Callithrix jacchus: one gene and its partner. The protein of the gene in region 1 interacts with the protein of each later gene in a pairwise test. Links are inferred from orthologs where the notes say so. Each region holds a gene or a part of one and is shown in the gene's direction. Other genes may lie near its edges.

Evidence for each region.
Region 2: the proteins of KCTD6 (region 1) and CTNND1 interact in binary tests that used the Homo sapiens proteins (3 or more experiments, as listed by UniProt). The two-hybrid records come from large-scale screens. The link is inferred for Callithrix jacchus from reciprocal best matches to the Homo sapiens genes KCTD6 and CTNND1.

What each region holds. Positions count from the first base shown.
Region 1 is NC_133516.1:40,276,963-40,281,543, forward strand, and holds the start of KCTD6 (BTB/POZ domain-containing protein KCTD6), read left to right. Parts: upstream 1-1,682; 5' UTR 1,683-1,935; intron 1,936-3,877; exon of another isoform or gene 3,878-4,121; intron 4,122-4,581. UniProt on the Homo sapiens protein: Probable substrate-specific adapter of a BCR (BTB-CUL3-RBX1) E3 ubiquitin-protein ligase complex mediating the ubiquitination and subsequent proteasomal degradation of target proteins.
Region 2 is NC_133511.1:115,363,853-115,367,662, forward strand, and holds part of CTNND1 (catenin delta-1), read left to right. Parts: intron 1-1,251; coding exon 1,252-1,404; intron 1,405-1,825; coding exon 1,826-2,361; intron 2,362-3,810. UniProt on the Homo sapiens protein: Key regulator of cell-cell adhesion that associates with and regulates the cell adhesion properties of both C-, E- and N-cadherins, being critical for their surface stability.

The sequences.
Region 1 (4,581 bases):
TAGCCATCTGTCAATTATAAAAGAAAAATTTGAAGGTACAATTAACAATAGTTCTAAAAATTGTTAAGATAGGAAGGACTAAGTCTGACAAAAACACCAACAGAATTAATCCATCAGTTTTTATTTGGGGGATAGAAGCCCTGAGAGGGGAAATGACTCTTTCAAGGACACTCAGTAAGTCAGAGACAATTCTGGATTTTCAGTGGTACCAAATTCTGGAAGTCTGAGTATTGGGTAATTTTGGTATTGTCCTCCTGTTTAAAAAAAATAATAAAAGCCGGAGTGAGGTGGGGTGGGGTGGGGTGCAAAAAAACAAACAAACCAAAACTCGTATTTTTTAATTATAAATTCAATAGTCATGTGTTCTGATTATAAATTCAATATTCATGAAAATGCAGAAGAACACTAAGAAGCAATGTCATTAACATTCCCATACTATTATCTTCAACATGATGATCAATGGTTTGATGTATTTCCCTCAAAATTTTTGTCTGTGTATATTTATGTTTTAAAAAATAAAATCAGGATTATATCATGTATACTAGTTTGTGTACTGATTATTTTCACACACATTTCCCTGTATTCTCCCCTAGTCTTGTGAAGTTGATAATGTAGCACTCAGTTATGTTGATGAAGCATATGTCATTTATTTAACCTATCAATTTGAGTTTTTGGAGAAAAATCAAGTATCAAATATGACTGTGATGATGCTGATAAGAATTTCAGCCCCAGAGCCAGCTCACACACATGCAGATGTGAAACCCGAGTGAGTTTCTAAGGCCAGTGGTTATTCTGGTGGAGAAGCGGAAACAGCAAACCCACCATCAGGGAACTGGCTTCACCGGAAGGGGACCGCGACCTAGCTAGCAGGAAGCGAATGGGACTTGGAACAAGTGGACTCATGGAGACCAATGAGCCCTAAGGCCTTAGGAGCTGCCCATCCTCTGAAGCCTTGGCCTCCTTCCTGGTGAAGTGGGGACAATACCGGCGCCAGCCTTGTCTAGCGCGGAGCTCCTCCAGGCCCCAGAGCCTTTGCACTGGTCGTTTTGTCTGCTGTGGTGGCTCTGCCCTCCTCTCCACTTGGCTGCCCATATTGCAGAGCCTCTGGGCCCGGCTGCTCTTTACTGTTCTGCCCTCCAAGCCGGATGGGTGGCCCCGGAGGCTTCCTCACAGCTCTCATAGAAGCAGTCTCCTCAATGCAGGGCAGGCAGGAGGGGCTCTGGCCGCAGGTCCGGGTCCAGGTCTTCCTTGGCCACTGCGTTTGAAGCAGGGGTCCCCTTCCCTTCTGCTCCATCAAATCCTCTAATCACTCCCCTTCCAACACTTATGATCATAACCTGTCATTATTTTGTCTACTAGCTGTTACCTTGAGTTTTGTCTGTCTTGTCCTTCCATTAGAACCCGCCTCCGTCTTGGTGGGCGCTGTATCTCCTAAACCCCCAGGCCTGAGATATAGTGGGGCCCCATACAAGTTCGTGAAATGATTGAGGAGAAACGCTGCGCGACACCAGCCCTGAGGACGCAGTGGGCTTGTGGCTGGGCGGACCCCAGAATGTGGGCGGAGGCTGGACGTAGGGGCGGGGTTTAGGGGCGGAGCCTAGGGGACCGGACTGGGGCTTCGGGGCGGGGCTTCGGGGCTGCGGTGGTGTGGTCTTAACCACGCGGCTCCGGGTGCGCTAGCTGAGTTCCCCCGGCCGCCGGTCCCTTTGGCTTCCCGCCCGCGCCGCCGGTAGGGGGCGCCCGCGCTCGTGGCGCCTAGGCTCTGCTGGGAAGGCGCCGCCCGCGCCGGGCAGCTGGAGCCGCAACTCCGGGCGCGGGCTCAGTCGTCCCCTCTGCCGCCGCCGCCGCCACCGCCGTCGCCGGGCGCGGGCTCGCTCGTCCCTGCGCTCGCGTTCTCCGGCCGCGGGCAGCTCCCGGCCCGGCCGCCGCCGCGCAGTGAGTGGGGCTGGCGCTGGGCTTGCGGGGCCGGGGCTTGGAAGGGCCGGGTTTCCGGACATGCCTGAGCCGAGCGGGCAGGGGAGCTGGGCTGAGGAGGTTCTGGCCGGGGGAGCCTGGAATCGGGCGGCGGCGGGGCCGCGCTGAGGGGACCGTGCGTCCAGGGGCTGGCACGAGCCCGCGGCGGAGGTGCCCGCGGTCGGGCCTGGGCGGGGGTTCCGGGGCCCGCCCGGCGGGGACGCGCGATTTCGGCGCGCCCCTCGTCCGGGCCCGGAGCATCGCCCGCCCTACCCCTGGCGGGGTCGGGTTGCGGGGGCTTTGCTGGCGGGGCAACAGCGAAGCGTAGCCCAGACGGGGACATTCGGGGTGTGCTCGCAGATGATTGATTTTGGGAGATGGCGCTTATTAGCCACCAATTGCCCTAGTTTAAAACGTGAGGCAGGGCTCTAAACCCTGCCTGTGGGCTTTTCTGCCCTGAAGAGACACTCAGATTGCAGCTGAGTTCTTTAAGCTTAGATTTGTGTGTGTGGTGGCATTTTTAATGCTTGATGTCAAGGTGATAAATGACCGTGGTAATGGGGAGCCCCTGCAGCACCTGCTGGGCTGACGGTGGAGGCTGTGTCTGGGGGTGGGACGGGGAAATGAAACGTGACAGAGATCCTGTTTGGATATTCTGCTGAAGTTATCATGTTTCTGTTCAAGTATACCAGTTCTAGAACAAGTTGATGGATCCAATTTTAGGACTTTGTGATAAAGGAGGTTTGGGTGGCAAAGTGGCCCGGGATGACCCGGCTCGCTAAGCAGATTTGGAGTAGCCCAAGTATCTCTCCATATCCCCCTGGCATGTTCTTTTTTTCGCTGTCACGAATGCCCTATTACTTGAATCATCCTGGGATAGGAAAGCAGCTTGGGGACAGCATGTGACACAGTCCTGAGCCCAAGATTGAGATGTTTTCAAATGAACAAATGTGTAGCTAGGAAAAGGAAAATGTTTTTGTCAGCAGTGTTGGTAGGTTGAGAGAATTTTCTCTTTGGCGGAAAACCATCAGTCCATATTGATATTTGATTTTGTGATTTGCCTTAGATATGAAGGATGCAGCGGTCAGGGTAGTCATGGATGCTATTCCTAAGTTTTGTGATTTGAATTTTCATAAATCATATTTTAACCCAAGTATCACTACTTAAAGGGCTCTTAGGGTGAACCCTATGAATCCTTCAGTGTGTTTGGATTTTGATATTTGGGGTCCATTTAAAATGGAGTACATGTATTTACTGGGATTCAGCTTTACCTTGGAGATAATCCTGAGTCATGCTTTAAATAAGTTCCTTCTGAGATCAAGAGCTCAGATGTCTGGTGATCTCTGGAAAAGCTAGGCACCCCCCTTTACCTGTATGTACTTCTCCCTTCTGGAGCTCTGGGAAAAGGAGCACCTGGGGAGATTTGAAGCAAATTAAGAGGCTGCCTTCTCTATATTTGCCCTGTCTCCAGGCCAGTGCTCTAAATTACTTGTGTTCACACTCAAGTTTCTCATGTTAACATAGAAATTTTGTTTATACTGCTGCCACTAGTGTTTTCATATTTAATACTTGCCAATTTGCAGATGGTTTTATATTCGTGATTTCACTCATTTTCTCCATTTCCCCAAAGAAGAAGTTGGGCATAGAGTGATTTTCTCAGGGTCTCATAATCAGTAATGGAGCAGAATTCGATTACAGGACCTCCCAGGGAACTGTTCTCTTCTTTGTATTGTTGTGTTACTCTTAGAGGCCAATTTTTGCCTTTCTTTTGTGCCTAAATGGTGTAATTACTTTTGAGAAGGTGGTATTATCCTGTTTTTTCTTGTGGAAACTGAGTTAAGAGGAGTGTTATGATTTTGTGACTATCTATGACAGTTTTTTTTAATATTAGGTCACTTTTCAACCTATAGCTCCTCTTTTCTAGACCACATGGTTGAGAGGGGAGAAAGAGAAAATGATTACTTTTCCTGCAGTCATATGGTTAAGGATAATCTAACACCATAATCACATTATCCTTGTATGCCTGGCTACTTGTGCTGGCCTGTGTGTGAATGTTAACCCCAAAGACTCCTTTAGATGTCACTGAACCAGTTACTATAAAAAGTATTTCACTTTCAAACTCCCACATTTCGAGAAGAGCAAAACTCAGTACAAAGGCAATTTTGAAGGTAAGTATAGAAAGAGGGAGTTTATTGAGTCTTTTCTGAATGCCAGACACAAAAACGTTTCAGTAGAAAAGCATTTTAAAGGGCTGCCTGGAAACTCTGGGAAGGTAGTAGTTGGAGGTTTTTATTATTCATTGAAGTTTGGAGGTTTATATTGCAACATGTAAGTTGTTATATAGGATTAGGACTTTGGCCCTGGAGAATTCTTAGTCTATAGCAGAAATGATAAACTCAGAATATTTTTGTTAAGTTAGTTCATCATAACCAGTAAGCCTGTAATTGCAGTTCCACAGTGGTAGGGAGAATTGCATTTAAGGGTTCTTAGGTTACTTTTTAAGCTATTAACTTACTGAATTATGTATTCTTCAGATATGCTACTTTAGAAAATTAATACTTTCTTTTAAGGCTTCTATAAATTCTTCAGTATGTGTTTTCTTAAGCTTAATTACCTGCTAACATGACA
Region 2 (3,810 bases), on another chromosome or scaffold:
TTTTTTTCATTTCCAAAAACAAAGAAATGGAGCTTCAAAGTATATATGTAGTTTTGTTTTGAAATGAATTTTAATGACCACTGATCTTTATGACTATTTTTCTTCCCCACTGCCACCCCATTTGATCCCTAAGCACTATGTTTCTTTTCTAGAGACAGAAGGCTTCTACTTTGCAGCAGAAAACCCTACCTAAAATCTGGCTGGTCTTGAGCCTTTTAGATAGATAGTATCTGAAGAGTGACATAGAGCCAGTCAAAAGATGGCTCTTACTGGGATTTTTCAGGTTTATCTTAAAAGTTTTTTATTTCAGGCCGGGTGTGGTGGCTCACACCTGTAATCCCAGCACTTTGGGAGGCTGAGGTGGGCAGATCACCTGAGGTCAGGAGTTCGAGAGCAGCCTGACCAACATGGAGAAATCCCATCTCTATTAAAAATACAAAATTAGCAGGGCGTGATGGTGCATGCCTGTAATCCCAGCTACTCAGGAGGCTGAGGCAGGAGAATGGCTTGAACCCAGGAGGTGGAGGTTGTGGTGAGCGAGATCACGCCATTGCATTCCAGCCTGGGCCACAAGAGCAAAACTATCTCAAAAAAAAAAAAAAAGTTTTTTATTTTGGCCAGGTGTGGTTTGCTCATTCCTGTAATCTCAGCACTTTGGAAGGCTGAGGCTGGAGGATTTCTTGAGCCCAGCAGTTCAAGACCAGCCTGGGCAGCACAGTAAGACCCTGTCTCTACAAAAAAATAAAATTAGCCAGGCGTGGTGGTGTGAGCCTGTAGTTTCAGCTACTCAGGAGGCTGAAGTGGGAAGATTGCTTGAGCCTGGGAGGTTGGGGCTGCAGTGAGCTATGATCATGACACCATACTCTAGCTTGTATGACAGAGTGAGACCCTATCTCAAGTAAATAAATTAAAAGTTCTTTTTTTATTGGGTGAGCTGCTCTTCTGAGGGGTGACTCAGATATAGATGAAACTGCAGTTAACACAGTTCATATTAACTTAGATGACTACAGCTGGGAAGTTAAATCTACTGTCTCTGTCACTTGGATGTTGATGTGGCTATAGTTAACTCAGTTCATGTTTGTTAAATGACTACAACTGGGAGATTATGTCTACTGTCCTTTTGTACAAGTTTAAAAGATGGCAGCCACCCATCTAAAAATCCTGAGGCCTATAGAAGATGTATGAGGAGTCCCTATCTCCAGGGTCACAGAGCTTAACAGTAGTTTCTTCTCTCTTTTCTTTTCCATATAGGATCACAGTCACCTTCTATATAGCACTATCCCCAGGATGCAGGAACCGGGGCAGATTGTGGAGACCTACACCCAGGAGGATCCTGAGGGAGCTATGTCTGTAGTCTCTGTGGAGACCTCAGATGATGGGACCACTCGGCGCACAGAGACCACGGTAAACTAAGATGTGTATAAGATCTGGAAATGATAGAAGAGGTCTTTTTGTTTCTGTTAGGGGGAGGGGATTAAGCACTTAAGATGGAGGATTGATATGCCATCATTGATCTGACCACATAAAGAAAGTGATCTCTGGCCAGATAGGAAAGATGAAGAGATACGGAAAAGCTTATGGAACAGGGAAGAGAGAAGGTATATCAAGGTCTGTAGCAGCTCCCCTTATAGGCATAATTACTGTCAGGGCAGTTTTCCTGCTTGGGGACTTCCTGTAGGATTGCAAGAAAGATAGATGCTAGACCTTAAAGCATTTCTAGGTAAAAGGACCTAGGGATCTAAGGGTTTGTTTCTTTTAGAGTGGTTTAGAATTTAATTGCTCACTTCCTTCATTAGTTTTTCTTTTTCTTGTTGCTTACTTGCAGGTCAAGAAAGTAGTGAAGACTGTGACCACACGGACAGTACAGCCAGTTCCTATGGGACCAGATGGGTTGCCTGTGGATGCCTCATCAGTTTCTAACAACTATATCCAGACTTTGGGTCGTGACTTCCGCAAGAATGGCAATGGGGGACCTGGTCCCTATGTGGGGCAAGCAGGCACTGCTACCCTTCCCAGGAACTTCCACTACCCTCCTGATGGATATAGCCGCCACTATGAAGATGGTTATCCAGGTGGCAATGATAACTATGGCAGTCTGTCCCGGGTTACCCGAATTGAGGAGCGGTATAGGCCTAGCATGGAAGGCTACCGGGCACCAAGTAGACAGGATGTGTATGGGCCCCAACCCCAGGTTCGGGTAGGTGGGAGCAGCGTGGATCTGCATCGCTTTCATCCAGAGCCTTATGGGCTAGAGGATGACCAGCGTAGTATGGGCTATGAGGACCTGGATTATGGTATGATGTCTGATTATGGCACTGCCCGTCGGACTGGGACACCCTCTGACCCTCGTCGGCGCCTCAGGTAGGCAAGAATGGGGGAAGGTGAAAGGGCCTTTTCCAAGACCAGGAACAAGGGGTAGCTTTTCCTTCAGCTTCTAAGAGCTTTTCGGTATCAGAGATTCTTGTGGCCTCCTCCCCTCTGCTTTGTTTGGGGAGAAAGGCTACCCTGTTTTCCCCCTTTTCTTACTTGGCTTAGTATTGATTTGATATATATATATCTGACACATATATACATATATATATCTGACATATATACATATATATATGTAAACATATATATATTTAAATGAAAATCATATATTCTAATTTTTTTTTTTTTTTGAGATAGTTGTCTTGCTTTCTCACCCAGGCTGGAGTGCGGTGGTGCCATCTTGGCTCACTGTAACCTCTGCCTCCTGGGTTCAAGCGATTCTCGTGCCTCAGCTTCCCTAGTAGCTGGGACTACAGGCAAGCACCATCATGCTTGGCTAATTTTTGTGTTTTTAGTAGAGATGGAGTTTTACCATGTTGGCCAGCCTGGTCTCAAACTCCTGACCTTAGAGCTGATCCGCCTGCCTTGGCCTCCAAAAGTGTTGGGATTACAGGTGTGAGCCACCATGCCTGGCCCATATGTTTTAATTATAGAAAACAACTTGTGATTGTTATTAGTGTATGTCCTGAAGAATGAATTTTGCTTCTGTGCTGAAGTTTCTGCTGTTTCTGGCTAAGCTGTGACCCCTTTCAGTGTTAGGCAGAGGATTCTGATGTCCGGGGCTGTGAAATTCTTGCTCACTTGTTCCTGGGAATTTCTTCAGCTTCTGGTTTGGTATTAAAAACAGAGTTGAGGATTTTAGGGATCCAGAGCCAAAAGAGACGGTTAAAGACACACACACACACCCACCCACACCCGCCCCCCCAACTTTCTTGTGGTGTTTTTAATCCCAAAGCAAACTTTGACCTCACAAGAGCCTTGATACTCTATGCTTAGGGTCTTACATTTGATTGTAAAGTGAAATAATTGTGGTGACATCCTTAGGTGGAGGTCTGGCGGTATAGTAGCAACCCTCTGAAAGGTCACTAAGCAGCTGCCTGCTCTGACTTTACTACTTGTCCCTGGGGATTCTTTGGTGATGTGAAAAAGGGACTGATTGATGTTTGGACTGGTATATGGTTTGCCTTGTTGCCTTGAGAGAATGCTATAGAATGGGGTCTGCAGACCCCTAAAAAGGACCACGTAGAACTATTTTAGGCTTTGCGGGCCATGTATTATCTTTGTCCTTTGTTCTTTTTTTCAAACAATCCTTTAAAAATGTAAAAAGCATTCTGGGGGGGGGGTGTGTACAAAAACAGATTTGTCCCATGGGCTGCCAATGCTTGCTTTAGAATAAATTAGAGACAGTGTTTCCAGGCAAAGAGCAATGATAAGAAACAAGGGAGATTTATGGTTGTCTTGATGGTAAGGATACCCCAGCAGCTGTTGCCGAATTGCTCT